Linked DNA regions of Macaca mulatta. The protein of the gene in region 1 purifies or fractionates together with the protein of each later gene. This does not show direct contact. Links are inferred from orthologs where the notes say so. Each region holds a gene or a part of one and is shown on either strand. Other genes may lie near its edges. The genes, in order: DPF2, SS18, SMARCC2, SMARCD2, SMARCC1, ACTL6A and SMARCD1.

What was found.
Region 2: the proteins of DPF2 (region 1) and SS18 purify together in Homo sapiens (affinity purification with mass spectrometry; 4 studies listed by BioGRID and IntAct, counting the BioPlex papers as one, with this or other methods). This does not show direct contact. The link is inferred for Macaca mulatta from reciprocal best matches to the Homo sapiens genes DPF2 and SS18.
Region 3: the proteins of DPF2 (region 1) and SMARCC2 purify together in Homo sapiens (affinity purification with mass spectrometry; 8 studies listed by BioGRID and IntAct, counting the BioPlex papers as one, with this or other methods). This does not show direct contact. The link is inferred for Macaca mulatta from reciprocal best matches to the Homo sapiens genes DPF2 and SMARCC2.
Region 4: the proteins of DPF2 (region 1) and SMARCD2 purify together in Homo sapiens (affinity purification with mass spectrometry; 6 studies listed by BioGRID and IntAct, counting the BioPlex papers as one, with this or other methods). This does not show direct contact. The link is inferred for Macaca mulatta from reciprocal best matches to the Homo sapiens genes DPF2 and SMARCD2.
Region 5: the proteins of DPF2 (region 1) and SMARCC1 purify together in Homo sapiens (affinity purification with mass spectrometry; 9 studies listed by BioGRID and IntAct, counting the BioPlex papers as one, with this or other methods). This does not show direct contact. The link is inferred for Macaca mulatta from reciprocal best matches to the Homo sapiens genes DPF2 and SMARCC1.
Region 6: the proteins of DPF2 (region 1) and ACTL6A purify together in Homo sapiens (affinity purification with mass spectrometry; 5 studies listed by BioGRID and IntAct, counting the BioPlex papers as one, with this or other methods). This does not show direct contact. The link is inferred for Macaca mulatta from reciprocal best matches to the Homo sapiens genes DPF2 and ACTL6A.
Region 7: the proteins of DPF2 (region 1) and SMARCD1 purify together in Homo sapiens (affinity purification with mass spectrometry; 9 studies listed by BioGRID and IntAct, counting the BioPlex papers as one, with this or other methods). This does not show direct contact. The link is inferred for Macaca mulatta from reciprocal best matches to the Homo sapiens genes DPF2 and SMARCD1.

What each region holds. Positions count from the first base shown.
Region 1 is NC_133419.1:9,062,655-9,066,885, forward strand, and holds the start of DPF2 (zinc finger protein ubi-d4), read right to left. Parts: upstream 2,801-4,231; 5' UTR 2,790-2,800; coding exon 2,758-2,789; intron 1-2,757. UniProt on the Homo sapiens protein: Plays an active role in transcriptional regulation by binding modified histones H3 and H4. Is a negative regulator of myeloid differentiation of hematopoietic progenitor cells. Might also have a role in the development and maturation of lymphoid cells.
Region 2 is NC_133423.1:66,321,113-66,325,256, reverse strand, and holds the start of SS18 (protein SSXT), read right to left. Parts: upstream 2,801-4,144; 5' UTR 2,721-2,800; coding exon 2,652-2,720; intron 1-2,651. UniProt on the Homo sapiens protein: Appears to function synergistically with RBM14 as a transcriptional coactivator. Isoform 1 and isoform 2 function in nuclear receptor coactivation. Isoform 1 and isoform 2 function in general transcriptional coactivation.
Region 3 is NC_133416.1:63,339,511-63,343,454, forward strand, and holds the start of SMARCC2 (SWI/SNF complex subunit SMARCC2), read right to left. Parts: upstream 2,801-3,944; 5' UTR 2,789-2,800; coding exon 2,678-2,788; intron 651-2,677; coding exon 531-650; intron 1-530. UniProt on the Homo sapiens protein: Involved in transcriptional activation and repression of select genes by chromatin remodeling (alteration of DNA-nucleosome topology).
Region 4 is NC_133421.1:73,636,762-73,641,035, reverse strand, and holds the start of SMARCD2 (SWI/SNF-related matrix-associated actin-dependent regulator of chromatin subfamily D member 2), read left to right. Parts: upstream 1-1,474; 5' UTR 1,475-1,863; coding exon 1,864-2,157; intron 2,158-4,274. UniProt on the Homo sapiens protein: Involved in transcriptional activation and repression of select genes by chromatin remodeling (alteration of DNA-nucleosome topology).
Region 5 is NC_133407.1:110,954,493-110,957,619, forward strand, and holds part of SMARCC1 (SWI/SNF complex subunit SMARCC1), read right to left. Parts: intron 2,281-3,127; coding exon 2,104-2,280; intron 1-2,103. UniProt on the Homo sapiens protein: Involved in transcriptional activation and repression of select genes by chromatin remodeling (alteration of DNA-nucleosome topology).
Region 6 is NC_133407.1:91,585,643-91,589,142, forward strand, and holds part of ACTL6A (actin-like protein 6A), read left to right. Parts: intron 1-1,301; coding exon 1,302-1,396; intron 1,397-1,699; coding exon 1,700-1,806; intron 1,807-1,899; coding exon 1,900-1,989; intron 1,990-3,500.
Region 7 is NC_133416.1:57,257,752-57,261,693, reverse strand, and holds the start of SMARCD1 (SWI/SNF-related matrix-associated actin-dependent regulator of chromatin subfamily D member 1), read right to left. Parts: upstream 2,801-3,942; 5' UTR 2,644-2,800; coding exon 2,467-2,643; intron 1,846-2,466; coding exon 1,658-1,845; intron 1,370-1,657; coding exon 1,327-1,369; intron 1,238-1,326; coding exon 1,115-1,237; intron 631-1,114; coding exon 508-630; intron 1-507. UniProt on the Homo sapiens protein: Involved in transcriptional activation and repression of select genes by chromatin remodeling (alteration of DNA-nucleosome topology).

The DNA.
Region 1 (4,231 bases):
ACTGCAACCTCCACCTCCTGGGTTCAAGCGATTCCCCTCCCTCAGTATCCCGAGTAGCTGGGATTACAGGCGCACGCCACCACGCCCAGCTAATTTTTGTATTTTTAGTAGAGTGGGGTTTCGCCATGCTGGCCAGGATGGTCTCAATCTCCTGACCTTGTGATCCGCCCGCCTCGGCCTCCCAAAGTGCTGGGATTACAGAGCCACCGCGCCCAGTCGCCTCTTTCTTTTTTTTAAGACAGAGTCTTAAAGTGTCACTCAGGCCGGAGGGCAGTGGTGTGACATCAGCTCACTGCAACCTCCGCCTCCTGGGTTCAGGCGATTCTTGTGCCTCAGCCTCCCGAGTAGCTGGGACTACAAGTGTGTGCCACCCCACCTGGCTAATTTTTATAGTTTTAGTAGAGATGGGGTTTCACCATGTGGGCCAGGATGGTCTCGAACTCCTGACCTCAAGCGATCAGCACGCCTCAGCCTCCCAAAGTGTTGGGATTATAGACGTGAGCCACTGCACCCAGCCAAGACTTCCATTTCTGACGTCACATTTGGCAGGGACAGAAACTTACAAATAAGAAAATTCTTAAGGCCAGGCGCGGTGGCTCACGCCTGTAATCCCAGCACTTTGGGAGGCCGAGGCAGGTGGATGACCTGAGGTCCGGAGTTCAAGACCAGCCTGGCCAACGTGATGAAACTCCATCTCTACTAAAAATACAAAAATTAGCCAGGTGTGGTGGTGGGCACCTGTAATCTCAGCTACCCGGGAGGCTGAGGCAGGAGAACTGCTGGAACCCAGGAAGCGGAGGTTGCAGTGAGCCAAGATCGTGCCACTGCATTCAAGCCCGGGCCAACAACAGCGAAACTCTGTCTAAAAAAATTAAAAAAAAGAAAAGATGAGCCAGTGGTCCGACCTCAACATACTCAATGTATAACATCAGCTGTCAGAAGACTACGTACACTATAATCAAGAGAAGTGCCAGAAAATTATCTCCAAATTAACTGGAAGAATGGAAGCCCCTTCTTAAAGGGATAATTCTGCGGGAGTACGTATTAATTGTGATCTGAGGCCCTGTGCAGCTAGAAATGAGGAGGAGAGAGTTGGTTTCTCATTACTGGCATTCAGGAATTAGTGGCTGGTGATGCTCACAACCTCTACAGTTTTTCAAAGAGAAACAAGATGTCATGCTCTGTTTAAATGGGCAACCCCTCACTTATGACACAACTTGAAAGCACTGGCAACCCTATTTCCCCGAGGAAAACCTTCCAACACAAAGAGCCTCACTACGTTTAACTCTCAAAACCTAGGCAAGTCTGATACTCCTCCAGTACAATGAGAATCTTTCTTTTTATTTTTGGAGAAACTTGTGTAAAACATCCCCTTACAATGGGATGAAGGAAGTCAACAAAGACACAGGGAAACAAAGAAAGAACATCTGAGTCAGAAAGGATAACTGGATAAATGGTAGATCAACAGTGTCATTTCTAAATTGAGAAAAATGTCAGCCTGAAGAGAGAGCTGGGGAAACTGGAGTGGGCAGATCAGAAAGACAATAGTGTTGGGAGGAGGGGTGGCTGAAAGAGACAGCAGGATAGAGCAGAAAGCAACTTAAAAAAAAAACCACAAGAGGAGGAAAGGCACTTAGCTTAATGGAAGTGGGAAAGCATTCTCAAAGAAAAGGCTTCAGGCAGGAGGGAGAAGCAACTTACTCTTTAAAAAGGCCCCTAGGAAGAGAGGGGCTCAGGCCACGACAAAGACAGATGAGAAGCTGTGAGTCCCTTAGAATACTTACCGAACCTTTACCTCATCACCCAGCCAAAATCCAAAAACCCTGACTGGACAGTTAGACACCACTCAATTTTCCCACCCTTGCACCAAGCCCAATATACCCATTAAAAGAAGCTCTATTCGCCCACCGGGCATTAACCCAATCTAAAACTCATTCTGATTCTCCTGTAGGAATAAATCAAGTCAGTCCCAAAGTATCTTTAACTCACAGGAAGCAGTTCATAGGTCAGTGTCCATGGCCCCAACAGCTATTAACTTTAACTTTGCTTGAAATCTGACCAGCACAACGGTATCGCATCATAGGAAGAATGCCCACTTAGATGCCCCTTTAGGCTACTAAGCTGTCCTGAACGGCTTTGGTTCAGTTGCAGGTTTTTGATGGTTGCCACTGGAAGGCGCCAAGGCCCACTCCCCTTTTGGATCCGCTCCTCGACAAATGCTTCCCAAGAATATTTGTAGTCTTAGGTACCTGCCACCCAAGATCCTCCCAAACATCACGGGGCTGCTTGGAACTGAAACAGCCAGCCCCGCAGTGCACCCCACAGGGGCCACCGAGCCTGTTGCTGCAGCGGACGGGACGGGGCGGGATGGGCGGCGGGTTAGCCGTGGGGCCGCCCGGGCCTCGGCCCCGCTCCTCCGGACTGAGGCGTCTCGGGAGAGGACCGGGACGGTGAGTCTCGCGTGCAGGCAGGGCGCCATGCTCTGGAAACCGTCAGCCCCGAGGAACGCTGAGGCCACACAGCCCAGCAGAGAGGCTGCCCGTCGGGGCTCCAGTGTGCCCCCATCAGGGCCTCCACAAGTTTCCAAAGAAGCGCAACGTCTTCTCCGGAGTCTCCTATTGCCCTCCCCACCAGGAGTCGCAACATGGCCTTCCCGGGGATGTCCCTCTCTCCGCCTAGTCCCTTTCCCCACAGCCCCCTACTCCCAGGCCCTTTACAAAACCTGCCGCCCTAGGAGAGAAAGAAACCACCACTCACAGCTTCACTACATTCTCCACCACAGCCGCCATCTTCCCTGCTCCTCTCCCTCGGGCCGGGAGGCCCCAAAGTCCGCAGCGCGCAGGCGCCGGGACCGCACCGGGGTACCAGGTTCCTCGCCCTCTGCGCAGGCGCCGTCCGGGCGCGCGCACGAGAGCGAGCACCGAAGAAAGAACTTTAGGCCTGTTCCCGGGGGCCGGGTAGGACCCCACGGGAGCCCGACGCGCAGGCGCAACCGGAGACTGGCGTGCGTCCCGGAGCTTCGGTTCGAGGGCCGCCTCTTCTATTTAGAGCAGCAGGAGGCGGTGCCGGGGGCGGTGGCTCACGCCTGTAATCCCAGCACTTCGGGAGGCCGAGGCGGGCGGATCACGAGATCAGAAGATCGAGACCATCCTGGCTAACAGGGTGAAACCCCATCGCTACTAAAAATACAAAAAATTATCCGGGCGTGGTGGCGGGCGCCTGTAGTCCCAGCTACTCGGGAGGCTGAGGCAGGAGAATGGCGTGAACCCGGGAGGCGGAGCTTGCAGTGAGCCGATATTGCGCCATTGCACTCCAGCCTGGGCGACAGAGCCAGACTCGGTCTCAAAAAAATAAATAAATAAAATAAAAAAATAAGAGCAGGAGCCGGGCGCGGTGGGTCAGGCCTGTAATCCCAGCACTTTGGGAGGCCGAGGCGGGTGGATCACCTGAGGTCAGGAGTTCGAGACCAGCCTGGCCAACGTGGTGAAACCCCCATCTCTACTAAAAATACAAAAATTGGCCCGGCATGATGGCAGGTACCTATAATCCCAGCTACTCGGGAGGCTGAAGGGGGAGAATCGCTTGAACCTGGGAGGTGGAGGTTGCAGTGAGCTGAGATCATGCCATTGCACTCCAGCCTGGAAGACAGAGCGAGACTCTGTCTCAAAAAAAAAAAAAAAAAAAAAAAAAAAAAGAGCAGGAGGAGGGCAGTCACAGTGGCTCCCAGCACCGTGGGAGGCAGAGGCAGGAGGATTGCTTTGAGCTCAAGAGTTCGAGACCAGCCTGGGCAACATATCGAGGCCTCTTCGCTACTAAAAATTTAAAAATTACCCGGATGTGGTGGCGTGCACCTGTGTTCCCAGCTACTCTAGAGGCTGAAGTGACAGGATTGCTTGAGCACAGGAGGGTCGAAGGTGAGTGAGCCATGATTGTGCCACTGCACTCCAGCCTGGGCAACAAAGCCAACTCTGTCTCAAAAAAACCAAAAACCAAAAACCAAAAAACAGCCCAAGTCAATCTTCAACTATCACCTCTTTTCACCCTTTAAAAGCAAATAGTACTCCCTATCTCTGTTACCTTGTTTCTAGGTCCCGCTTCCATCCAGTTTAATGGGAACTTTGTTCCCACCTGTTCACTTGAAACAGCTCCTGTCACCACGACCTCCCTTTCAGCAGATTTAGAGATCTATTTTCTGTCCTCATGGGCCTGTCGACCCCCATTACACCGTTGG
Region 2 (4,144 bases), on another chromosome or scaffold:
ATTTAAAGCAAGATTAGTGAATCAGCAGCTCTCTTGCATAAAATTTCATTACGTACTGTTTAAATCTCTTGTAAAATTATGCCATGCACAGTTCATATGGACAATGTTTTCAGTAACTGAGTTTTTTTCCCTTCAGATTTCTAGAAATATTGCATCTATACAGAAATTGAATCCTCTTGGGTCTTTTTAATATATACGATAGCTCACCACAAAAAAATCCTAATTTTACACCTTTGGAATGATACCATGTTTAATCAATAACGTTTTAATATTCCAATTATTCTCCCTCTGAATAAACAAGCCCAGAAACGAAAATCTGAATTCTTTTATATCAAACATTTAATTACCTCTGCTATCTGTAATAGAAGCTTTAGCCAATTAAGACTAAAGTTAAGAGTCCGAGTTGGCTTTTCATCATTCTAATGGTTTGGATTAGTAAAGAAAAATTCTGTACTTCTCCAGAATGAAATAAATACATGAAAACTTCAGCCCAGGAGTCTTGATGAAGTAACTGGCTAGTTTCCAAGTTTTATAACAGCATGGTTTTGTGATTCTCCAATTATGAGATAATAATTAAACATAGTAATTTCTATGCATGTATAATATTTGTTACAGACTTTATGAGTTTACTTCATAATTACGCTGTCTCAAAAGTTTAAGAGGAAAAAGATACCGATTTATCATTCCATCATCTTTTAACAATTCAAAGTAATCTTGGCTTTGAGGGTTAAATAATTCATCTAAGTAAAGTGGAGCTGAAGAAAGAGTACTGATTGTAGCAATTAAAAGGCCAGTTAGTTTCAGTGCCAGTTTTGCCATTTTGAGCAAGTCACTTAAGTTTTCAGAGGCTGATTCAGCTCCAAGATCAAGGGACTCAGGAGATGCTCCTCCAGAACCTGCCCCACCCTACCAGGATTCAAAAGTATTAGTACAATACCATAATCACTCTATCTCAATAAAAGGAACATCCATTTAACATTAACTGTCACTTTTTTTCTGCACGTGAATCACAATCTTCACTTACTGGGGGAAAAAAACCACTAACATGATCTACTAATAAATGCAGTTATTTCTTAGATAGAATCATTGTATGACCAAAAAAAGTCTTTAAAATGCACGAATCAAATCCTCAACCTAATGATTTCACAACTTATCTCCAGTATATTCCTCAAACTACTGAACGTCACCATTAAAATATGTGTCTCACATCTAATATCAATCTCTCCCATTGCAGAATAAGGAACTTAATTTGGAGCCCATGTTTCTGTTCAGCTGAGAATGGAAAAAAATTGATCACCATACTCGGAATTAATCATTATCCATGATAAATATCTTAAGACGTATGTAAGAGAAACTATAGAAAAAAGAAAAACTCTGGACTTTTCCTGTGTACAAAAATAAAAAAAGGTGAACCCCCCAGAAACGCAGTTTTGGGTAAGTGTGTACTTGGAGCTGTTTGCCAGGCTGTAGACTTAACTCAGAGTACTATATGAAAGCACTGCATTTCCAGGCACTGCCAAGCCCGTTTGTTCATAAAATAAAGCAACAGTTGGGCAAATGTCAAAAGCCACACTACGAAGAACCTGACAGTAAACAGAAACCGATTAGCACAATCTATGTGGTCTGAGTGGTACTAAAACTTGACCTTTTTTTCTATTTTGATCTTTGCTACACGGCATAAAACAAAACAAAAATATTTAAGGTAAACTGCTAAATATAGCAGCAACTTTTGAAAGCCTAGGTCAGTAAAATTTAGAATGCTGCCTTGCTAGTAGGCAACAAGGGGTAGAGGACAATAAAGAACCTTTGTGTTCCGACAGGCAGTAACACAGCAGCGACTGTAGCAGCACTATCCTTTAAAAAGGAGGCAGCTCCCTCTGTATTTATCACGACTTATATTAACTGGTTACGACAGAAGTCTCCACCACTAGACTGTAAGCTCCAGGAAGGCAGGGACCATGACTCACCACAGTCGCCTCAGCGCCTAAAATAGGCGCTCAATAAATACTTGCTGCAGAAGTAAATGAATAGGCGGCGATGTAGAAGGGAAGAGGCGGCTCTGGGGATAACCTCAGAGTCCATGGGGACCTTCCTTGCCCGCTCCTCAGACTCTACTAAGGTTCCCTCCAGCGTTCCCCAAGTTCTCCTGAGAGCTCCCAAACTCGGCTGAGTTTGCAGGGCAGCGACCTGCGCTCCGACTTCCCTCCGCCAGCAGCGGCCCGCGGTGGGGTCCGCACGAAGCAGCCGCGGCGCGCGGGGCGGGACGACGCCAAAGTAACTCCGGAGCAACGCGCGGGGCCCGGCCCGACACACGCCCTTCCCAGCGCGGCCGCCGCCGGGCGCACGCGCCCCGCCGCCCGAACGCCGCCCCATCCCTAGAGAAATCAGGCGGCGGCTGTTTGGGCTTTTGTGTCTGTAGAAAAGCGCGTAAACGCGCGAAAGACTCCGAGAAAAACCGGTTCACCCTCTTCCGCCACCAACTCAGGCACACGCCGCAGCCCCGGTTCCCACACACGGCTGCTTCCCAGCAGGCCCGCCTCCGCCTCCGCCCCTGGCCCGGCCCGGTCGACTCCGGGCCCGGCCCTTCCCCCCGTGTCCGTCTCTCCCAGAGGCGGGAAGGGCCTGGCATCCCCAACCCCGCGCGGTTTCACCTTCTGAATCGCAGCGGGAGTGATCTCCCCCTTGCCTCGCTGCCTAGGGGCTGCGAAAGCCACAGACATGTTGCCGCCGTCACCACTATCAGCAAGTCCGGAGCGCTCCGGGTGAACGGCAAACTGGGGGAGAGACGCCGGCCTCTCGGGCTGAACCACCTCGGGAATGCGGGAAGGGGGGATGCTCCAGGGCCAAGCGGACGGCCGGCGGGGCAGGCCTGAAGGAGGCACTCTGGCCCAGGGACGTCTCGTTTCTGCGCACTCTGGGGGACCCGCAGCCCCGGCCGAACTTTCTTGACCGTCCTCGCATCCCCCGACCTCTCCTTGTGGGCACCCCCTGGCCTTTCGCGCTAATGGTAGAGTCGCGCCCTAGTCCTCCCTCCGCTTCAGCGATTCAGGAAATGGTCCCGCCGCCGCGGGAGAGGGAGAGGCTGGGGCAGCCCCTGTCACAGGAAATGCGAGCGGCTCGAGCCGGCCCGCCCCCTTCGCGCGGTTGCAACTTGCCTCCCCCGCCGCGCTCTGAAGCGTCTCCCCGACTGCGTTGCGGAGCGTGCCCTAGACCTAGTTCAGTTGTTCCAACTTCATCCTTACTTACGCCTCCTGGCAAGAAGTCGCTGCCCCGAAATGTCCGGGCAGCCCGGAGAGGGGAGGAAGGTCAGCACTCGGGAGTTCGTGCCAATCCGTGGAGCATCTGCCGAGATAGGACAGAGGTGGAAGGATAAGGTGAACGCGGATTCGCTGGTTTAAATGGCTCGGCTACGCCCCAAATGCGCACCTCCGAGTCCACAGTCTCGCACGCACGCACAAAGTCGTGCATAACAATTGGAAAGTAACCCTGACCCGAAACCGGGACACCAAGGTTGTGTCCAGTGCTCGGGGGCAATCGGCCAACTTGGCTGGAGCGGACAGAGAAGAGCTCGCCTCGTGGTACAAACCCTTAGCAGGAAAGTGGGTCGATTTCGTCTGACTTGGCTCTTTGGAATTAAGTTGTGAAACAGGGCATCCTCACTCTCTGTTTTTTAAGAGTGCTTAGTGCCTTGTAAATTAGGCCCAAGCTGCCAGGCTTCAAGTCAGTGTAAGGGAAAAAGGCAAAATTTTCAAATTACGGAAGGAACACGGACAAATGTCGGTTTTGTGTTGCCGTGGGGTTTTAAAGTATTCTGTAAATTTAGAGTTCCATATAACACAAAGGGAAAGTTTATATAAAGTGTTACACAACGTTAATGAATAATAAAAAATAAATATTTCCATTTTTCATATAAATTGGAAAAATAAAGAAAAATACATTGTTTTAAAAATGTAATCACTTGAGGCCAGGAGTTTGAGACCAGCCTGGGCAACAAAGTGAGACCCCTGGCTCTACGAAAATTTTAAAAATTGGCTGAGTGTGGTGGTGTGCACCTGTAGTTCCACCTACTCGGGAGGCTGAGGTGAGAGGATCACTTGAGCCCAGCGGGTGGAGACTGCAGTAAGCCATGACTGCCCCACCGTAC
Region 3 (3,944 bases), on another chromosome or scaffold:
TGAAATTCTTTAACCCTTGTGCCATTGCATCATGTGGCCTGCAAGAGGGGAGTGAAAGAAACCAATATACAGAAAGCACCACCTTGTGCTAACACTTTACTGGATTATCTCAGGTGCCATTATAGAAACCCTACAAGGTAGGTTTACTAATCCCATCTAGAGATGAAGGAACCAAGACTCATGAATGCTGCCCAAGATCACACAGCCATCAAGTAGCAAAGCCAGGATTTGAACACAAGCCCACACAAATCCAAATCTCAAGTCCGCTTTTAACCATGCCATGAGAGACTTGTGGACTGATCCCAGGCACTCTGAAATAATTTGTTGCACAAAGTATTACTAAGACAAAAAGAATGGTAAACTGGAGACTAGGCCAAGCCAATAATGCCCTGACCAGGGATAGGGATGGTAGAAAATAACCCAAATTTCAAAAATTACAAAATTCACGAATCTTTTTTTAAAATACAACTCTCCAGTTTGGTGGACTCACCACCACCACCCCCCGCCCTCTCTCCTACTTCTGCACTCACCGGCAGTTTAGTGAGCGGTGCATTGCTGACATGTTTGCCAAAAACTTCTTCCTGAAATTGTAGTAACTGTACAACCAGGCTAGACAGGGACTTGTTGGTGGGTGGTTCAGCTTGTATATACTAACGGAAAAGAGGGAAAGGAAAGAAAAATAGATCTCAGATAAATTGTCCACTATCTTCCACATTTCTCCCCCAGGGGCTCTGGAAGTATCTGGAGCAAAGAAAACAGTGCCTTTCTCCCTATTTAGTCTCTATAAAGAAAATGGCAAAAGGGAGGCTCTGGACATCCCAACCAGGAAGCTGAAATTCTGCTGTCACCAGCCCAGATGGCCAGTGTTGGGGAGAACAGGGAAGCTTACTACTCTTCCTCAGCTACACTCTGAAATTAGAGTTGCAGGACCCTATTATCTTGGCACCTCATCCTCAACCAACAGCACTGAGGGTTGTTAAAATTCTGGAGGTTTATAGAGTTCAGATCATGGAAGCAATACCTTTGGAGCTCTAAGAGAGACATTTCTTAGGAGAACTCTGTGTAAAGCCATGATTCCCCCTATAATGTAGCCTAACAAGAAAAGGTACAAGGAAGTGAAGGAGGGCAAGCTGACTGAGAGTGAGCCTGTGCATTTTGCTCCTGAAGACTGGGTATAAAGTTCTTCATAAGCCCTCCTAGACAGGAAGGGCCTCACCAGCCTGATGGAGAAGAGCAAGAAAACATCTACCCTGTCTGAGGAAACTGTATCCGAGACAAGTAACCCTGGCTCTACCTCAATATTTCCACACTTCGCTACCTAGTAGCATCCTAGCCTTCCATTATAATTTGAACCTGAGCCAGGAGACTTTCTTTTTACCTTTTGACCCGTTTTCTCCCCCCTCATCACAAAGAAGACAGCGCCTCTCAGTGAGAGGTGAAGAGAGATAGATATGTGAAGGGAAAGGTAAATGACAAAGAGCTAAGAGCACGGAAGCTGAACCAGGTCACAGTTGTCAATCCCCACCAAGGCCGGAGGCTCAGCCCCTAGCTTGATCTCCCTGCAAAAGGTCAAAGCAAGAGCCTCTCACAGGCATAGAAACAAGCCATAGAAATAGCAGCTATTTGTCAAGATTCTGACACCCAGAGAGACCCCAAGGGCAGGGCTAGGCTCATAATCAGGATCAGTAGGAAGTTCTCCTAAGCCACTAAGCACACTTCTGACGAGCTGCAAAGCCGGCAGGAAGAAATGGGGAGCTGAAAGAAAGCCACAAAGAGAACCCCTCTCTGAGGGTAGTGAGAAAAAGAGAGGCAGACTATTTCCAGGGAAAACCAGGCCTAGAGACAAAGACGACACCACGAAGAGGTCTAGTAGAAAAGACAGGTAAGGATTCTTAAACCCTTTGTTCACTACCTTATGATCGCCAGTTATGGGGTTTCGGGGTGAGGGGCTAGAGATAGAACGCTCACCCTAACCTCTTGACCCCAAACCCACGGTACTGCAAAGCTAGGTTGCAGGGTGACTTCACTGCAAAATCGAGGAAAGGTTTTGGAAGGGGTCGCTACCCAGGAACTCCTATACCCCAGCTCCCTGAGAGATTCTGTTGCCTCTTAGATGAAGGTGGGGGATGAGCGGCGGAGACAGGTGATCCCTGGGTGGGGACCTTTTTCAAGCTGATGAGCAGCCAACGACTTGCTCTGTGACTGTTTACCCTCCTGCTTTCCATCCTCTCTCTGAACATACACAAAGCACCGGGGAGGCCTCAGCCCCACCGGTACCCGGCTCCATGGGGAGCTCTGGCGGGCACGTTCCGGGTTGCGGGGGAACCCATTGGGCACCCGGTCCACACCCGGCCGGCCGCCTCTCCCAGAAGAGCCAGGAGGGCGATGGCTGAGGGGAAGGTGGGCTAATGGCACCGGGGCCTGCCGGGCAGTAGAGAAAAACAAGGGGCAGAGGGCGCAGCAGTGGGGGCGGGGGCTAGGCTCGGAGGCTAGGGGTGCGGGGAGAGGGAGGCTGGGGGAGGGGCGCGGGCGCGCGGGAGGGCGCGCGGGGGGCTGCTCCGAAGGCCGCAGGGGAGGGGCTGGGGCGCCTGGAGGGTGGGCAGGATCCCGGAGCTGCAGGGCCGCGGTCCCTTTGTCCCGCCCCCGGTCCCCGCGCGGCCCGGCCCGGCCCGCGTACCTTCTTGTAGTTCTTGCCGAGCCACAGCCGCACGTTGTCGAACTGGGTCACGGTGTCCGCGGCCTCGTAGTACTTCACGTTGGGGCCGCCGTCCTTCTTCCGCACCGCCATCTTCTCGGGCTCGGGCCCCGCCGCCGCCCGCCCCACTCAGCTCAGCTCCCGCCTCCTCCGCCTCCTCCTCCGCCCGCCTCCCGCCGCCTCCCGCCGCCGCGGCCGCCGCCTCCCGCCGCCTGGGCCGGCCCCGGTCCGCGCTGCGCCCCCTGCCGGCAGGCCGGGCGCGGCGGAGGAGCTCCAGGCGCGGGCCGACCCTGGTGGCCTACCCGGCAGCGGCGGCGGGAGCCTCCGGGGAGAAGGACTCTTCCTGGAGGGGGCGCCATTCTCCTGAGATCCCTCTTACCAGACGCGAAGCCCTTCCCTCTTTTTGCCTCAGCCCGTTAGTGTCACCTCGCTATCCCACTCCAGGCGGCCGCCAGTCGCTGGAGCAGCCCCAACCCGTTGCCCCGAGTGGCCCTCACCTTGCGCATTCCTAATCCGACGGAGCCCCTCGTCCCCCAAAACCCCAAAACCCTTTCCCCAAGAAGTTCCTTCCTTCCATCCATTCCCAGCATCTCCCCATTTAAACTTTTCTGAGTCTCCCTCACCCCTCGCGCTTGTCCACCCAGCAACCCCTTCACTTGTTAACCCAAAAGTCCCCTAGCCGCCACCTTGGGGACCCAGTGCCTTCCTCAACTGCTTCCTCCGCTGGCCTCGCTGTCACCTCCTAAGTAGGTGTGAGCTCCTTGAGACTCCGACTCTTCGCTAGGCAGGAGACCCTCCTTCCCTGGGTCACCCGGTCCATCCGACTCTTTTTCTCTGGGTGGCGTAGATAGGAGGTAAGGAACCAAGGGGTGGGGAGTCCTCAGGTGAGTGCGCGTCGAGGCCGGTACCCTGCTTCCGGTTCCCGCATGTAGTCCCCGATTGCAGTGCGGACCCCTTCTGTAAGCGCGCGGCAAAATGCGGTTTTGGAAGTCACGGTGGCCGAGTGGTTAAGGCGTTGGACTCGAAATCCAATGGGGTTTCCCCGCACAGGTTCGAATCCTGTTCGTGACGGCTTTTTTTTTTTTTTCTTTCTTATTATTAAGACGGAGTCTCGCTCCGTTGCTTAGGCTGGAGTGCAGTGGCGCGATTTCGGCTCACCGCAGCCTCCACTTCCCGGGTTCAAGCAATTCTCCTGCCTTAGCCTCCCGAGTAGCTGGGACCACAGGCATGCGCCACCACACTTTTTGCG
Region 4 (4,274 bases), on another chromosome or scaffold:
TGTTCTAGAAGCTTAAAAAGGATTGAAATGTATATTAGTTGCCTTATCATGAACTCTTAACCCACTTTACAGGGATGGGAGGGGCCATGATTCAGTGACTTTAACAATTCCAGTGACCAGTCCCCAGACTGACAGGTTATCAACTCTTGGGGCAATAGAGTGGTATCTCTGAGAAGTCCAGGAGGTAAGAAAGCAGCAGCAGTGGGGTTTATCGCTAGAGACAGGAGGAGAACTAATTTCTAAAAAGCGTTGGAAAACTATAAAAAATATCTGGGGTGCTATGATGCAAGAAAGGAAGCATTACTTGGTGGGGGCTGAAAAATAAACCAATTATAGTAAAGAAAAAAAAAAAAAAGTCTAGATCCTGGCTTCTTGACAGTATGGTCTAAGAAGCAACAGCATCGCTGGCAGCTTGTTAGAAATGTAGAGTCCTGGGCCCTGCCACAATCTGCATTTTTAATAAGAGCCTCGGGTGTTTTTTATGTGCTCATTAGGGTTTAAGCAGCACTGGGCCGTATCACGGTGAGGAGACCCAGACCATCAAAGGGACAGCTGAAGCATTTTTGAATACTTTGATACAGCACAGTGTATCTGAAAAGATACTGCATTTTTGAAAATTAAGTGCTATAAATACTAGAGAAAGACCTCTTTTTAAACTGCGGGGAGGTTTCTCATAAGCCAAATTTCTTTTGACTAGAAGCATTTGCTGGGGAGTAAAGTACCAGGCTTCCTTATAGTGAGGCAGAGCCACGTTAAAAATGTGCTGTAAGAGCTCAGCCTTGGCCAAGTCGACCATTCACCAGCTGGGTCAAGTCTGGAGCCTCCTAGGTCCCTTGGCAGTTCCGAGCTACCAGGATGAGCTTTTACAGGAAGTTGAGTTGGCTGCTGTTCTGCCCCAGAGAGCAGCTGAGTCTTTTTTCTTTTTTTGAGGAGTTTCACTCTTGCCGCCCAGGTTGGAGTGGAGTGGAGAGATCTCGGCTCATTGCAACCTCTGTCTCCCGGGTTCAAGCGATTCTCCTGCCTCAGCCTCCCGAGTAGCTGGGATTACAGGCGCCAGCCACCACTCTCGGCTAATTTTTGTATTTTTAGTAGAGACGGGGTTTTCACCATGTTGGCCAGGCTGGTCTCGAACTTCTGACCTCAGGTGGTCCACCCGCCTCAACCTCCCAAAGTGCTGGGATTACAGGCGTGAGCCACCGCTACCGACTCTGAGTTGGGTCTTTAATGTGGAAGATGCAGAAAGGAGACTTGACAAAACTATTTTCGGTGAGGCTGCTACACCGGGAAAGAGTAGTAGCAACTGCTCATTCACTGTGAAGCCTCAACGTGACCTTAGACCTCTGACCCCGCGCCTCACTCGGCGCTTCCGCGCGCAGCTTCCGCTCCCGCCCCTCCGATGAAGGGCGGGGCCAAAGGTGGGGGGTGGGACTCTGAGGTCGGCGGTTAGGGGCGGTGCCTGCTGGGGGCGGGTCTCGCGAGGGGCGGGATTCAAGGAGGCACTCGAGCATTGGGCACCAGGTAGAGGCGGGGCCTAGTGCTGGGCTGGGTTGGGCGGGGCAGGGAGTTCGTAGCCGCCTCTGGGTAACTCGACTCGGGCGGCCAAACCTCCGGAGTCCGGGGGCGGCAGGCGGGCCCACAGCAGATCCTGGATCCGGAATCTCCGGCGCAGGAGCGGAATCTGTCCCGAACCGGGTCTGTGAGGAACTCGCGAACTTGGATTAGGAAATCCCGGAGCCCGGATCGACAAATCCCGGAACCCGGAATTAAGATCGCCAAGTCCCGGATCGCGGAGTACAGAGCGCGGAGTGGACTCGACGCGTAGCCCGGAGTCCGGATCGCGGCACCGCGGGACGGGACGGAGCGATGTCGGGCCGAGGCGCGGGCGGGTTCCCGCTGCCCCCGCTAAGCCCTGGCGGCGGCGCCGTGGCCGCGGCCCTGGGAGCGCCTCCTCCCCCCGCCGGACCCGGCATGCTGCCCGGACCGGCGCTCCGGGGACCGGGTCCGGCTGGAGGCGTGGGGGGCCCCGGGGCCGCCGCCTTCCGCCCCATGGGCCCCGCGGGCCCCGCGGCGCAGTACCAGGTGAGTAGGGAGGACGCGAGCGGACGGGGGCGTGCGGCGCCGCGAGGGCGCCCGGGCCGGGGGCTGAGGGGGCCTCGAGTGAGGGCCTTGGGGAATGCATGAGGAACTTTGGGAGACGGTGGAGGGCGGGCCAGATCCCTCGGGCTGCGGCGGGTGGCGGTGGAGGAGTGGGGAAGGGGGAGCGAGTCCTGCAGCGGAGGGCTGGAACCAGCTGGGAGGCCTGGGGGCTTCCGCGGCACAGAGATTCCGAGTGACTGGGAGATGGAGGAGTTTGGGGAACCAGTGAATTGTGGGCGGGTGGGTTGAGAAGTCTAGGGTAGGAGGGCTAGAAAGTGATGAGAAAGTTTGGGAAAGGGCCCTCGCTGAGAAACCGGGGTTACCCTGCATCGGCCTTGGTCCCACTCCAAGTCTGCCCTGTTTTTTCTGGTTGCGAACTGGCCGAGCTCTAGCGTGTCTGAGATGGCTCCCGGCTGCTAATGAGGAGGAAGGAGCCTGGCTTCCCACGGGCACGGGACGCTGAGGCTAGGGCCAGGGGATTCATTCCAGCTTGTGCACGGGCGGACTTTACTCCAGAGGCAGGGCCAGGCGCCTTCGCTGGGGAGGACTCCAGCTTAGACCAGAGACGGTGGTGGCCAGGCTTGAGGGGAGGCCCAGCCTAGTCACAGGCCGGCTCTCTTCTGGGCTTTCTGCCTCCTGTCATCGTGTCGGGTAGTTGATTAGTCTGGACGTGCAGAGTGGAACCCTGCTGGTCTGGGGCCCGAGGAGTCTGCGAGAGTTGCTTCAAAGAGTGCTGTCCTGACCCCTTTGGGGTTTTGAGAGCTGCTCAGGTTTCAGCTTCAAAAGCCCTTGGAAGGCAGCGACTTCTGCTCAGTGTGTGAGAACCTCAGCCTGACCCTGCTGGTCCCCTAGTCTGCTGTTCAGGTTGCACCAGCAGGCTTGGAAACTGTGCCCATCTGCCTTATCATCCTCTCTGCATTTTTATTTGGCCTTCAGGTTCTAACTCCGCCACATCCGAAGCCATATGCCCCAGCATTTGACACTGGCTTCTCCCAGGGTCTGCTGTGGGCTTCCTCTGTTTTCGACTCCTGTCTCCAGGCGGAGGTCCTTAGGGATCCTCGTGGAGTATACACAGCCTACCTGCCCCACTGGGCCTCACATCTAAGGAGATGGCTTAACTAGGGACAGTGACTGGATTTTTTTCCCTTCTTCCTCCTCATTCTTCCTCCTTTCTCAAGAGAAAACAGAGTCTGGATATGGGCAGAGACAGACCTGGTCCCAGGGACTCCAGCTGGGGCTCATCTTTCCCACCCTACTCTCCCCCTTGGGGATTCATGGGCCCAGGGTGTTGCTGAGGGCTCCCTGCATCAGTCATTGTAGCCCTTGGGCCTGCCCACTGAGACCTGGCCTGGGCACCATCTGTGGGCCTTTGGCCTTGGAAGGACCTGGAACAGACAAGCCGCTCCAGTTTCCTTGGCATGCAAAAAGTCATAGGAAATGTGCCCTTGAGACAGCCCCTAAGAGAATGGATTCCACATGTTTGGTGGGGGGTGGCCTTGGGCTTGTGGCAAGGCCAAGCTGGCTGGCTGGTTAGGCCTGGGCTGCTAGCTGTGGGGAAGTAGGAGATGGCCCTGAGTCTGGGTTTCCCATCCCACTAGCTTTCCTCCTCCTGGCAGGAGAGGTAGATGGTACAGAGAACCCAGCCAGCTAACTTTGGCTGAGTTTGAAGAGGATCCTACTTGCTCTCTTTCCAAGTCCAGTTGTATGACTTCCAGGGGGGACTTGAGATCTGGGAAACAGAGGGGTTCCTGTCTGTTAGGGCTCATGAGATGTGCTGGAAAAGCGAGAATTTGAGGCCCAAGCTGAACAAATAGTTGAAAGAAGGGAAGTGATGACCTCCCTTCCTCCAGAGGGTGGTTCTGGCTGTGGATCACAGTTAACAGAGGAACCTAAAACAAAAACAACAACAAAAAACCCTCCAGGGCAGGATGTGGTGGCTCACACCTATAATCCTAGCACTTTGGGAGGCCCAGACAGAAGGATTACTTGAGATCAGGAGTTCAAGACCAGCCTAGGCAACATAGTGAGACCATAATTTCTCAAAAAAAAAAACCCAAAAAAATTTAGCCAAACTTGGTGGTGTGCGCTTATGGTCCCAGCTAGTCGGGATGCTGTGGCAGGAGGATTGCCTGAGTCCA
Region 5 (3,127 bases), on another chromosome or scaffold:
TGGGAGGTGTCTGAATTTCCCCCACCCTCCTTCCAGGCCAACTCCTTCCACGAATTGTTCAGAAGTTAATTTTGATTTCATTGTATTTCAATGGTTCTAATTTTATTTCTTCAGTTAAATAATAAGCTCCTTCCTGGGACAGTTCTATGTCTTATTTTTCTTTCTCCCATAAGTCCCTAGCCTAGCTGGGCACACAAGAGATTATCAATAAATTCTTGCTATTTAAATGTCTCCACCAGGGCCAGAGAGCTTCACTTGAGGCAGTTGCTGACAAACTGGATAGTCCAGGGAGGCCTCCACAGCTCCTGAACTGCAGTCCTTCGATTTTTGGCCCAAACTAGGTCATGTCCTGAAGGGAACAATTAGTATGAGTGTCTGGGACTCTTTCCTATGTCAACTTTAGCTGCTTTAGTGTACAAAGGAACCCTAGAGATCATTTAATCTGGGTTTTAAAAACCCCTAGATCTTGCCAGAATTGAAAACATATGAAACAAAGTGCAGCCTTGCTCACCAATCAATTCACCCAACTCTATGCCCAAGAGGTTTCTACCAAACCCTTAAGACTCTTCAATGCATTTTGAAACTCACTGATCTAATCCCTTGTGTCATCTTTCAGTGGAGGAAATGAAGGGCTGAAGTGGAGAAGCAACTCATCCAGTGTGGCCTACCTAGTATCCTAGAACCAATTCACATGGCTCAGAATTCCCAGAGCACTGACTTATGGTAGGAACCAGGCAGCAGGTGGGAAGGTTCCACCTGAAACCCTCCACATTCTCAACGAGCTCTACTGAGGTCCCTTTGGGAAGGAATCCTGAAGTGCAAAACATGCGTGACCAGCAGGGCATGACAGTGGTAAATTGGTAAAGACCAGTGACACTACCTCTGCAACAGGGATGGAAAACTGGTCAACTCTCCTGACAGGCGGGTTCATTTATGTACGGTTTGCAGGGTGGCTTGGCAAACATTTTCTTGCCAAGAAAAAGAGGTACCAACTGTACTATACAACCTCTGACCACTAGCTTAAGGGAGGTAATTAAAAAAAAAATTGTTGTGATCTTATATACCTAGATAAATTAGTGTCTTTCTTTTGTGTATCTACTTTGTCCCAGACTCTGGGGGCCAGAGAAGAGTAAGACACGTCTCAGTCTGTGAAACCTCCCAGAGTATTACAGTGTACTTAAGGCACATCGTAGTCTCATGTAACCTATGGTAAGTTCTATATGCCTTCATGTAACATTTGCTAAGTTCTATCCAAGTTTTCATTTCTTGTTTTCCCAACTAAAGCTCCTACAGAGCAAGAATTCTTATGCTTCCTATCTTTCTGAACTATAAATAGTAGCTAAACTTTTGGCCACACGTGAACTTCTACATGAACCTAAGATTACAGATGTGGCTGGGGTACCCGACCCACTATTGGCTGCATTTCAGCATCATCCTCACTGGGAAGACCTTCTGGAGTAAAAGGCAGGCCAGGGTCTCTGAAACAACCCTCAGGCCAAGGCTGAAGCCGAGCAAGAGCCTATGGGAGAAATGACCTGGCCTCTAAACACAGCCTCAGACAACTATCACTTAGCAGCACCAGTGCTTTCTTCATTGAGCTTGCTGGGACTTCGTATTTCCTCTCAACACAGACCCCAAATACTACTTTCTTAGCCTACACAGCCACTACTAATACATCAAGAATGGCTACAAGAAACATATGTTATTCCAGCTCTAAACTCACTTCTTTTCTTTACACACATCACTTTTGAACCCTGTATCCACAAAAGGCTGCTGTAGGGAAAATCACCACCAGTAGCTCTACATGTCTGTTGAGAGTCATAATGAGACAGGCTTAAACAGAGGAATATCTTTTTGGCCCCAATGCCGACAGTGCATGCCATAAAGGCACAACCCTGATTAGAAGCATTTTGTCATCTGTGCACCTGTCCATCGGGGTGCCTAAGAACAAAGACTGAAAACTGGTCTTCTAGAAGCCACTGTCACAGACTGCATCATCCATGGACCTGCCAAATCTCGGGGAGAGAACAAAGCCTCCTTCCCTTATCTACAGCCCTCCAGGACAGACCCTGGGATAATGCATCCCCCTACCGTGTTACTTACACATGCCGTTAGGTGCTGTCAGGGATACCCGGGGTCCTAAGATGTTTCCTGGCATTGGAGGCATGCCAGGAGGGGTAGGGCCACTCCCAGAGGGGTGGATGTTGGCTGCAACAGTGGGAATCATGCGGCCTGGCATGTGCTGCCCGGGCATCATGGAACCTGGGCCTGGTATCTGACCTGTGGAGGGAGATTTAAAGTACTATAAGTATACTAGAAAGGGGTATAAGAAAGGGATCAACTTAAATCCAACTCCTAAATACAGATAAATATCCAACCTTCCAGAGGATCTGAAATACCAACAGAGCAATAATCTGTAATAATCTCTACGTCTAGCTTTTTGTATTCTGAGTTTTTTGGAGGAGGGTGTTAATGGGGGTAGATCTGTGGAATGACTGATTATTCTAAACACTGGCAAGAAGGTGGCTGTAAAAAGAAATGGCAAAGGTTCCCTAAAATAAAGCACTCACTCTGGTTAGTTTGGGTGAGCAGTAGATTGTCAAATGTCTTCCTGAGGATATACAATGCCAAGCACAGCCCACAGGGAATGGAGAGGACTTTAAAAGGAAGTCAGTAAGTAAAAGTCAGTAAAAGGACCACAACTCAGTCCAGATTGTGCTCCATGGCTTACAGGGAAGGTTTGTCTGAAAGGGTATTAGTACTGCGAAATCACCATTAAAAGGGGATTCTGATTTGAATCCCCAATTCCTGTCCACAACTATTTCTCCCATTAAAAGCCTCATGTATGATTTAAAAAAAAAAAAAAAAAAAATCATTCCTTATAGAGGTTACTATGAAGCACTCGCCTGATAGACTCATATGGGAAAACACAGACAGCTCCATCTCTTCCTACCGTTTTCTCCCTTTCCCTTCCTTTCATTTCATTTCTTTTTTTTTTGACAGTCTCACTCTGTTGCCCAGGCTGGAGTGCAGTGGCATGACCTCAGCTCATTGCAACCTCCGCCTCCTGGGTTCAAGCAATTTTCGTGCCTCAGCCTCCCAAGTAGTTGGGATTACAGGTGCCCCA
Region 6 (3,500 bases), on another chromosome or scaffold:
CCACAGCATTAGGTGGAAGCTATTTCCAGGATTACTGAAGCACATCCTCTTGTCTGCCCATTCTTTACACTGTTGATCTAATAATCTTTCTATTTTTATTTATTTATTTATTTGGTAGAGATGGAGTTTCACCATGTTGCCCAGGCTGCTCTCTAACTCCTGGACTCAAGCGATCTGCTTGCCTCGGTCTCCCAAAGTGCTGAGATTACAGGCATGAGCCACCATGCCCAGCCTCTAATAATCTTTCTAAAGTGCTAGTCTGCTTTAAGCTAGAATCATCTTCTACATTTCTTCCTTTTACTTTCAGACCGTACTGAGGTGCTTGCAGTTCTCTGACCTCGCTGTGTTCTCTTGCCTCCTGGTCTTCCCACATGCTCCTACTCTTGCCCATATTCCCTTCCCCATAATTAACAATTGGATATCCCAGGAATAGGCTTCTCTTTTACACCACCACCTTCCCTGGGACATCGTGAGCTTTTCTTTTTACAGCTTTATTGATCATCTACTTCACTAAACAGGATAACCTTCAGGGAAAAGGCAGTTTTGGTGCACCATTGTGTGTCTACTGTGTTAAAGGAATTTTAGTGCCAGGTGAGCAGCCTCCCTCTTTCCTCCCTCCCTCCTTATTAAGCACCAGACTTAGTAGACACCTAATAGATGCTCAGTAAATATTTGATGAATGAGTGAATGCCCCTACTCCTAAACTTCAGTTTAGTATATTCAGGTAGTATAGGCCTTCTGCAGCACAGAATGTGGAAAATGGGATCTGCCAATATTCACCAGCTGTGGAATTCACCTGGCATAGTTTTCCTGCCCATTGAGTTAGAGGAGATAGGAACTGCCATATGGCTTTGCCAAACTGCTGAAACAGGTCCTCTTCAATGCTATGTGAGAATGGTTATAGTCCCTAGCTCAGTTGTCACAACCTCCCACTGTTCTTACCAAGTTTCTGTACATTTTGTTAAATAAATGCATCTCAGTTTGTTGTAAGCGCTTTGATCAGTCTCCAGAGACTTTCAATGATTATGTTAATTTTGACCAGCTTAATAGTAGCTGTTTCTAGGATAAAGGTTTCCCTGAGTTCCTGATACCTCCATTCTAGAATTCCTGCCTCTTGCTATTTGTTCTTAAGCCATAAATATTATTTTATACCAATTTTTATCCCTAGATTCACTGTAATACATTTTTAACTATGAGATAGATGTTTAAGAAATAGTTTCTGAAATATAAGAGCCTGCCCTTTACAATAAACATTATTTTAGCGGCCTTGATACTTTCTTTTCCTTAATGTTTTAAACTAGATTTGCTAATGGTCGTTCTACTGGGCTGATTTTGGACAGTGGAGCCACTCATACCACTGCAATTCCAGTCCACGATGGCTATGTCCTTCAACAAGGTAAATGTATTTAACCAGGATACACTGAGATGATTTTAGGTGTTATGAGGACGCACATAATGAAATAAAATGATGAGTAGCACTTTTAAAGCATATCAGTTTCTGAATAAGATCATTTTTAAGTATGTTAAAAATCTTTAGTATATAATGTGTATTTAAAACTGATGCATTGCTTTATTTATGTGTTGAAGGATAGTTCATTTACCTGAAAAAGTTATTCATATAAATACACCCGTAGGGGAAATTCGTTCTAGGAAGTTTGGACTTAACTGCTCTCTTAGCCTTGTCTCATCTGTTTCATAGGCATTGTGAAATCCCCTCTTGCTGGAGACTTTATTACTATGCAATGCAGAGAACTCTTCCAAGAAATGAATATTGAATTGGTTCCTCCATATATGATTGCATCAAAAGTAAGTATTGAATTTTCTTTCTAGAACTTACCTCTAGCTCCCCCACCCCTATGAAATGAACTCCATTAACATAGCATCTCTTGGTACTCTCAGGAAGCTGTTCGTGAAGGATCTCCAGCAAACTGGAAAAGAAAAGAGAAGTTGCCTCAGGTTACAAGGTCTTGGCACAATTATATGTGTAATGTAAGTAACCCTCATTCTCTTTACAAAAATGTTATAGGCTTTTTGCGTGAGTGTTAAAAAAAAAGTTATATATAGGCTGTAAATCCTTGAGTAAAATATGAGCACTTTATATTTTCAAGCTCTTTTTTTTAAATTACTAAATATATTTTGAAGATTAAATAGAGCATGATCTCAGGATTACACTCTATATTTTTAATGATACTTTACTAACAAAAGAGCTTTGCTGTGAGAGGCATGCTTTTCATATTTGCCAAACAAATGTCTCTGCAAATCACTACATATTCACTTGGATTACTATGGTGAGACCTGGAAGGAATTTTTGTTTTATGCTATTCTGAACATTTTTGACTGAGAAAATGGTTTTAGGTTTTGGAGAGGCCTACTAGTATGTCTCAGTTATGTTCTGTTTCCCAGCATCAGTCAGCCATATCAAAAATGTGTTTTTGTTCAGAACAAGGAACCCATGAGAGATTCTCTACTAAAAACCCATCTCTGAACATATGGCTTACTGATGGGGAAGAGGTTAGTAAAACAACCTGACACCACAGATACACCTTAATTTCTTTTTGTTTTGTTTAAAAAAACTGTTATTTTAGGTTCAGGGGTACATGTGCAGGTTTGTGATATAGGTAAACTCGTATCACGGAAGTTTGTCATACAGATTATTGTCCCCCAGGTACTAAGCCTAGTACCCAATAGTTATTTTTTCTGCTCCATTCCCTCGTCCCTCAGGGAGGCCCCACTGTCTGTTGTTCCCTTCTTTGTGTCCATGTGTTCTCATCATCTAGCTCCCACTTGTGAGAACGTGCTGTGTTTGGTTTTCTGCTCCTGCATTAGTTTGCTAAGGATAATGGCCTCTAGCTCCATCCCTGTTCCTTCAAAAGACATGATCTCATTCTTTGTTTCTTTTTTTTTTCACTGTGGTCTGTATATACCACATTTTCTTAATCCAGTCTTCCACTGATGGGCATTTAAGTTGATTCCATGTCTCTGCTATTGTGAATAGTGTTGCAGTGAACATACGCATACATGTGTCTTTATGATACAGTGCTTTATATTCCTTTGGGTATATACCCAGTAATGAAATTGCCGGGTCAAATGGTAGTACTGGGCCAGGCATGGTGGCTCACGCTTGTAATTTGAGAGGCTGAGGTGGGTGGATCCCTTGAGCTCAGGAGTTAGAGACCAGCCTGGGAATCATGGCAAAACCCTGTCTCTACAAAAACAGAAAAATTAGCTAAGTGGGGCCAGGTGCGGTGGCTCACTCCTGTAATTCCAGCACTTTGGGAGTCCGAGGCGGGTGGATCACCTGAGGTCAGGAGTTTGAGACCAGCCTGGCCAACATGGTGAAATCCCGTCTCTAAAAATATTTAAAAATTAGCTGAGTGTGGAGGTGGGCTACTTGGGAGGCTGAGGCAGGAGAATTGCTTAAACCCAGGAGATGGATGTTGCAGTGAGCTAACATGGTGCCACTGCACTCCTGCCTGGGTGACAGAGTGAGACTCCATCTC
Region 7 (3,942 bases), on another chromosome or scaffold:
GAGGAGCTTCTGGGTTGGGAAGTTTGGGGGCTATCACCTGTCAGCTGATGCTCCCCAGGAAGCAACAAAGAGCCTGTCAAGAGAAATCTATCCTACTTAAAACTATGGGGTGCCTCCAATGAAAGTTGAGAAGATGGAGATACCACAAGAACTCAGAGAGGAAACACGGCCTCAAATTAAGTGCAAACTCGACTAAAAACAAAACAAAACAAAAACTAAATAATCTACAGATACGGCTAAATCCAATGGCCAGCAGCACCAAGAGGAAGGTAAATCACAAATCAGATCCCAGGACAATAAGGTTCTCCATATGATACCAGTGAAGGCCAAAGGTGTGGGGGCAAACACAAAGGACCATTGTCTTTCAGTGCAGGGAACAGTGTCCCTCTCCCTACTGCTCCCAAAAGGAGCTGTGAGCACCAGTTAGGCTTCCTGCTGACCAGACAACACTGTTCATTCCCAGCAGCTCCCACCCTAGATGCCAACCACTGTGGACCTTGAACTCACATCCTCCAGGAGCCGTCCTTCTACCCGAAGCTCCCAGGAAGCCACCGTCCCTTCCCCATCCTCGGCATCTGACTTAGCCGGATTGAAAGTGTTAGAAATGAAAATTCGCAGCTTCCGTTTTTGCTGAGGAAGGCAGAAACAGGATTGATCGTGGGGCTTCAGTGGTCTAATGTTGAAGACAAGAGTCTCCCCAAACCCCAAAATTATTCCTAACAGACTGGCTTACTGTCTACCCAGTCCCTTGGGTGGGTGGATGAAGATTCCATTTAGAAGAGGAGTACTGGCCATCAGCCTAAGTACAAGTGCATACAGTGGGATGCCAGGTGGACAAAGTCATGCAAGGTGCCAGGTTCCCAAGGTAGCAGAGCAGTTACAGCAAAAACATGGACAAGGGTATATTTGTAGTGCAAGAGACATCAAGAGCCCCTCCCCCTTTGCCATTCTGTTCTTATCCTCCTAATGTAATTCTCAGTTTGTAGGCGGAAGGGAAAGATACAATTTAAATGCCAAGGAGAGTTGTGCTGTGCCTTTGATTTCTCATCCTAAGCCTGCTGAAGGTTCCTGGGTCCTCTCCTTTGGCTCTCTGCTTAGTAACTTCCTGTGTTACCTTGATGGGACGTTTCAAGGCCTCTTGGATATCTAGTCGTTTCCTCATGATAGTCTGGTCCAGTTTCCTTTCAAAAGCCAAGAGATCCATATAGGCCTGGGATTCTGGTACCAGTTCACGAATCTTAGGAACAGAAAAATTAATTGAAATCTAGGATGATTCATCTCTATACTCAAACCTACCACACTTTCCAGAAAACAGCCTGGACTCACCCTTTGAGGTAGAATTTTGTCAGCCATCTTCTTTTTCTTTGCACTGTTGGGAATAAACACTATTATCAGGTTGGGACAGAACTAGTCAGAACGTGAAAATAAGCTGTCAGCATGTCCATTTATAGTAATGTGAAGGGATTGCAAAGCTTCTCTCAAATCAAAGAACTACCACCACCACCACCACCACCACCACCACCACCACCAAGCATTCTCAATCATCCTGTAGCACCATCTGCTGACACAGCACCACCACTTCTTGGTTCAGGTAATCCCACCACCTGTGTACTCCCAGGCTCCCTCCCTCCCTCCCTCTGCCCCAGGATCATCTTACTTGTGGTTTCGATTTTGGACAGCCTGCTGCTGGACCTGCTGGATCTGCTGAGGGGCAGGTCTCTTGCGGGACTGATCCATCCCTGACTGGGCCAGGCCAGGTCGGACTGAAGGGTTCCCCCCATAGCCAGGGGGTCCCATGGAAGGTCCCTGAGGTGTCATTCGGCTGCCTGGCAACATACCTGGTCTCTACAGAGGGGAGAGGACCCAGAGATGTCATGGTTTCACCTGCTAAACCCCACCAAGAAAGAAAAGCAGGGAACGCCTGAGTTCTTTGAATGAAGTAAGGTTTACGGATGGAATGGAGGACAATGAGACGAGAACCCTCTGCTCCAGCAGTGACTCCACAGAAAAATAAAGAGTCCAAAAGCTAAGCGAGAGCCAGATTATACTCAAATTATCGGTCTATTTTGGATCGGACACATCGGACATCGCCAGTTCCACATTTACTCTGCTAGCTACTATCTCTTTAGAAGCTGACCTCAATTTGTCAACTACACGTTCTGTGTTCCTTTGATCAATGGAGCTGCTCAAGCCCCTCTGCACTCCGGCCCTCGTACAGGTATCCCTGGACCCACTTCACCCACCCTGGTTCTCTACCGACTCCCCACGGAAACAATGCCCCTAGGAGCAGGTGTGGACGCCAACTGCCTCCCCCTCTCTTCCTGCGCACTGCCTCCCCCAACCCCCACCCAGAGCCCGAACCCCTCCCAAGGGAGTCCCTCCTACTTCTCCCCCCACCCCTGTCACTCCCACGTCCCCGCTCGGCCCCGCCCCCGGCCCGCGCGTCCCTCCTCCTGCCCCACTCACCGGATAGGCCGCTCCGGGCATCGGGGAGCGGTACAGCCCTTGACCCGGAGCCGGGCCCATTCGCACGGGAGGCCCCGGAGTTCCGCCCGGGCCCAGGGCAGCAGCCGCGCCCGCCCCTCCCGAGGCTCCGGCGCCGCCGCTCGGAGCCACAGACTGGAAACCCGCCCGGGCCGCCATCTTCCCGGAGCCGCCGATGCAGCTGCACAAAGAACCGGAACCGGAACTCCCCCCGCCCCCTGAGCGCCCCCCGAGCGCCCGCCTGTTCCCCCGGCCGGCTGGCCGGCACGGGAGGCTCAGGGCAGCGAGACTGTCGCCTAGAGAGGAGCGAGTAGCGGAAAAGGCGTGCTGGCCACGCCCTCCCGCCTTCACGGTCCTGGAGGGAAAACCATAGAGAAGAACTCTGGGATAGAGAGGCCCCGTGAGCGGGCGCCCCCAGGCCGACGGGAGGTAGACAAGGACCTGGAAAGGGGGACGGACCACAGCCTCAGCCCCAGTCTCAACCCCGACTCCAGCCCGCTGATGATGAGGTGCTTGGAGTAATAGCTTCATCTTGGCGCATGGCATTAACTTCCCAAAACGCTTTGATTGCTTTTCGTTTCATTTTCTTACTGCTATAACTATCAGGGGCTGAGGAGGGAAACACAGTTTATTCCATTTTCCAAATAGGAAAGCTGAACTCACAGGTGAACGACTTGGCAAAGGTCAACCAGCAAGTTAGTCATAAAGCCGAAGCCAAGATTCCAGGTCTTCTTGCTCATAGCCCAGGACTCATTCCACAGATAAAGTGCCTCAATAACTACCTCACGTGGGAACTTCAACCTAACTTTGTCTCCGACCTAACCTGCTTCCGGATTATTATTATTATTATTTTTTCGACATGAGGTCTCTCTTTGTCACAGTGGCACCATCTCAGCTCACTGCAACCTCCGCCTCCCAGGCTCAAGTGATCCTCCCACCTCAGCCTCCCGAGTAGCTGGGATCACAGGCATGCACCACCATGCCAGGCTGTTTTGTATTTTTGGTAGAGACAGGGTTTCACCATGTTGCCCATGTTGGTTTCAAACTCCTAAGCTCAAGTGGTCTGCGCGCCTCAGCCTCCCAAAATGCTGGGATTACAGGTGTGAGCCATTGTGCCTGGCCTCAGATTTTTTTTTAATATTAAAAAATAGGGATGGGGGTTTCATTATGTTGCGTAGGCTGGTCTCGAACTCCTGGCCTCAAGTGATCCGCCCGTCTCAGCCTCCCAAAGTGTTGGGATTACAGGCGTGAGCCACCGTGCCAGCCTGCTTTCAGATTTTATAATAAGTTCCAGTTTATCTTGAATTTTGACTCTGCTCTCTCTCTAAAGCATTGTTTGTGATGGGGATTCTGTTTTGGACCTTTGTTGCCTTTGACTCCTCCCTCTTTCCCTGCCCAGTGGTTCAAACTATTCCTGATACGATGGTCAGCCGTCCCATCCCAGGAGGACCACAGTCT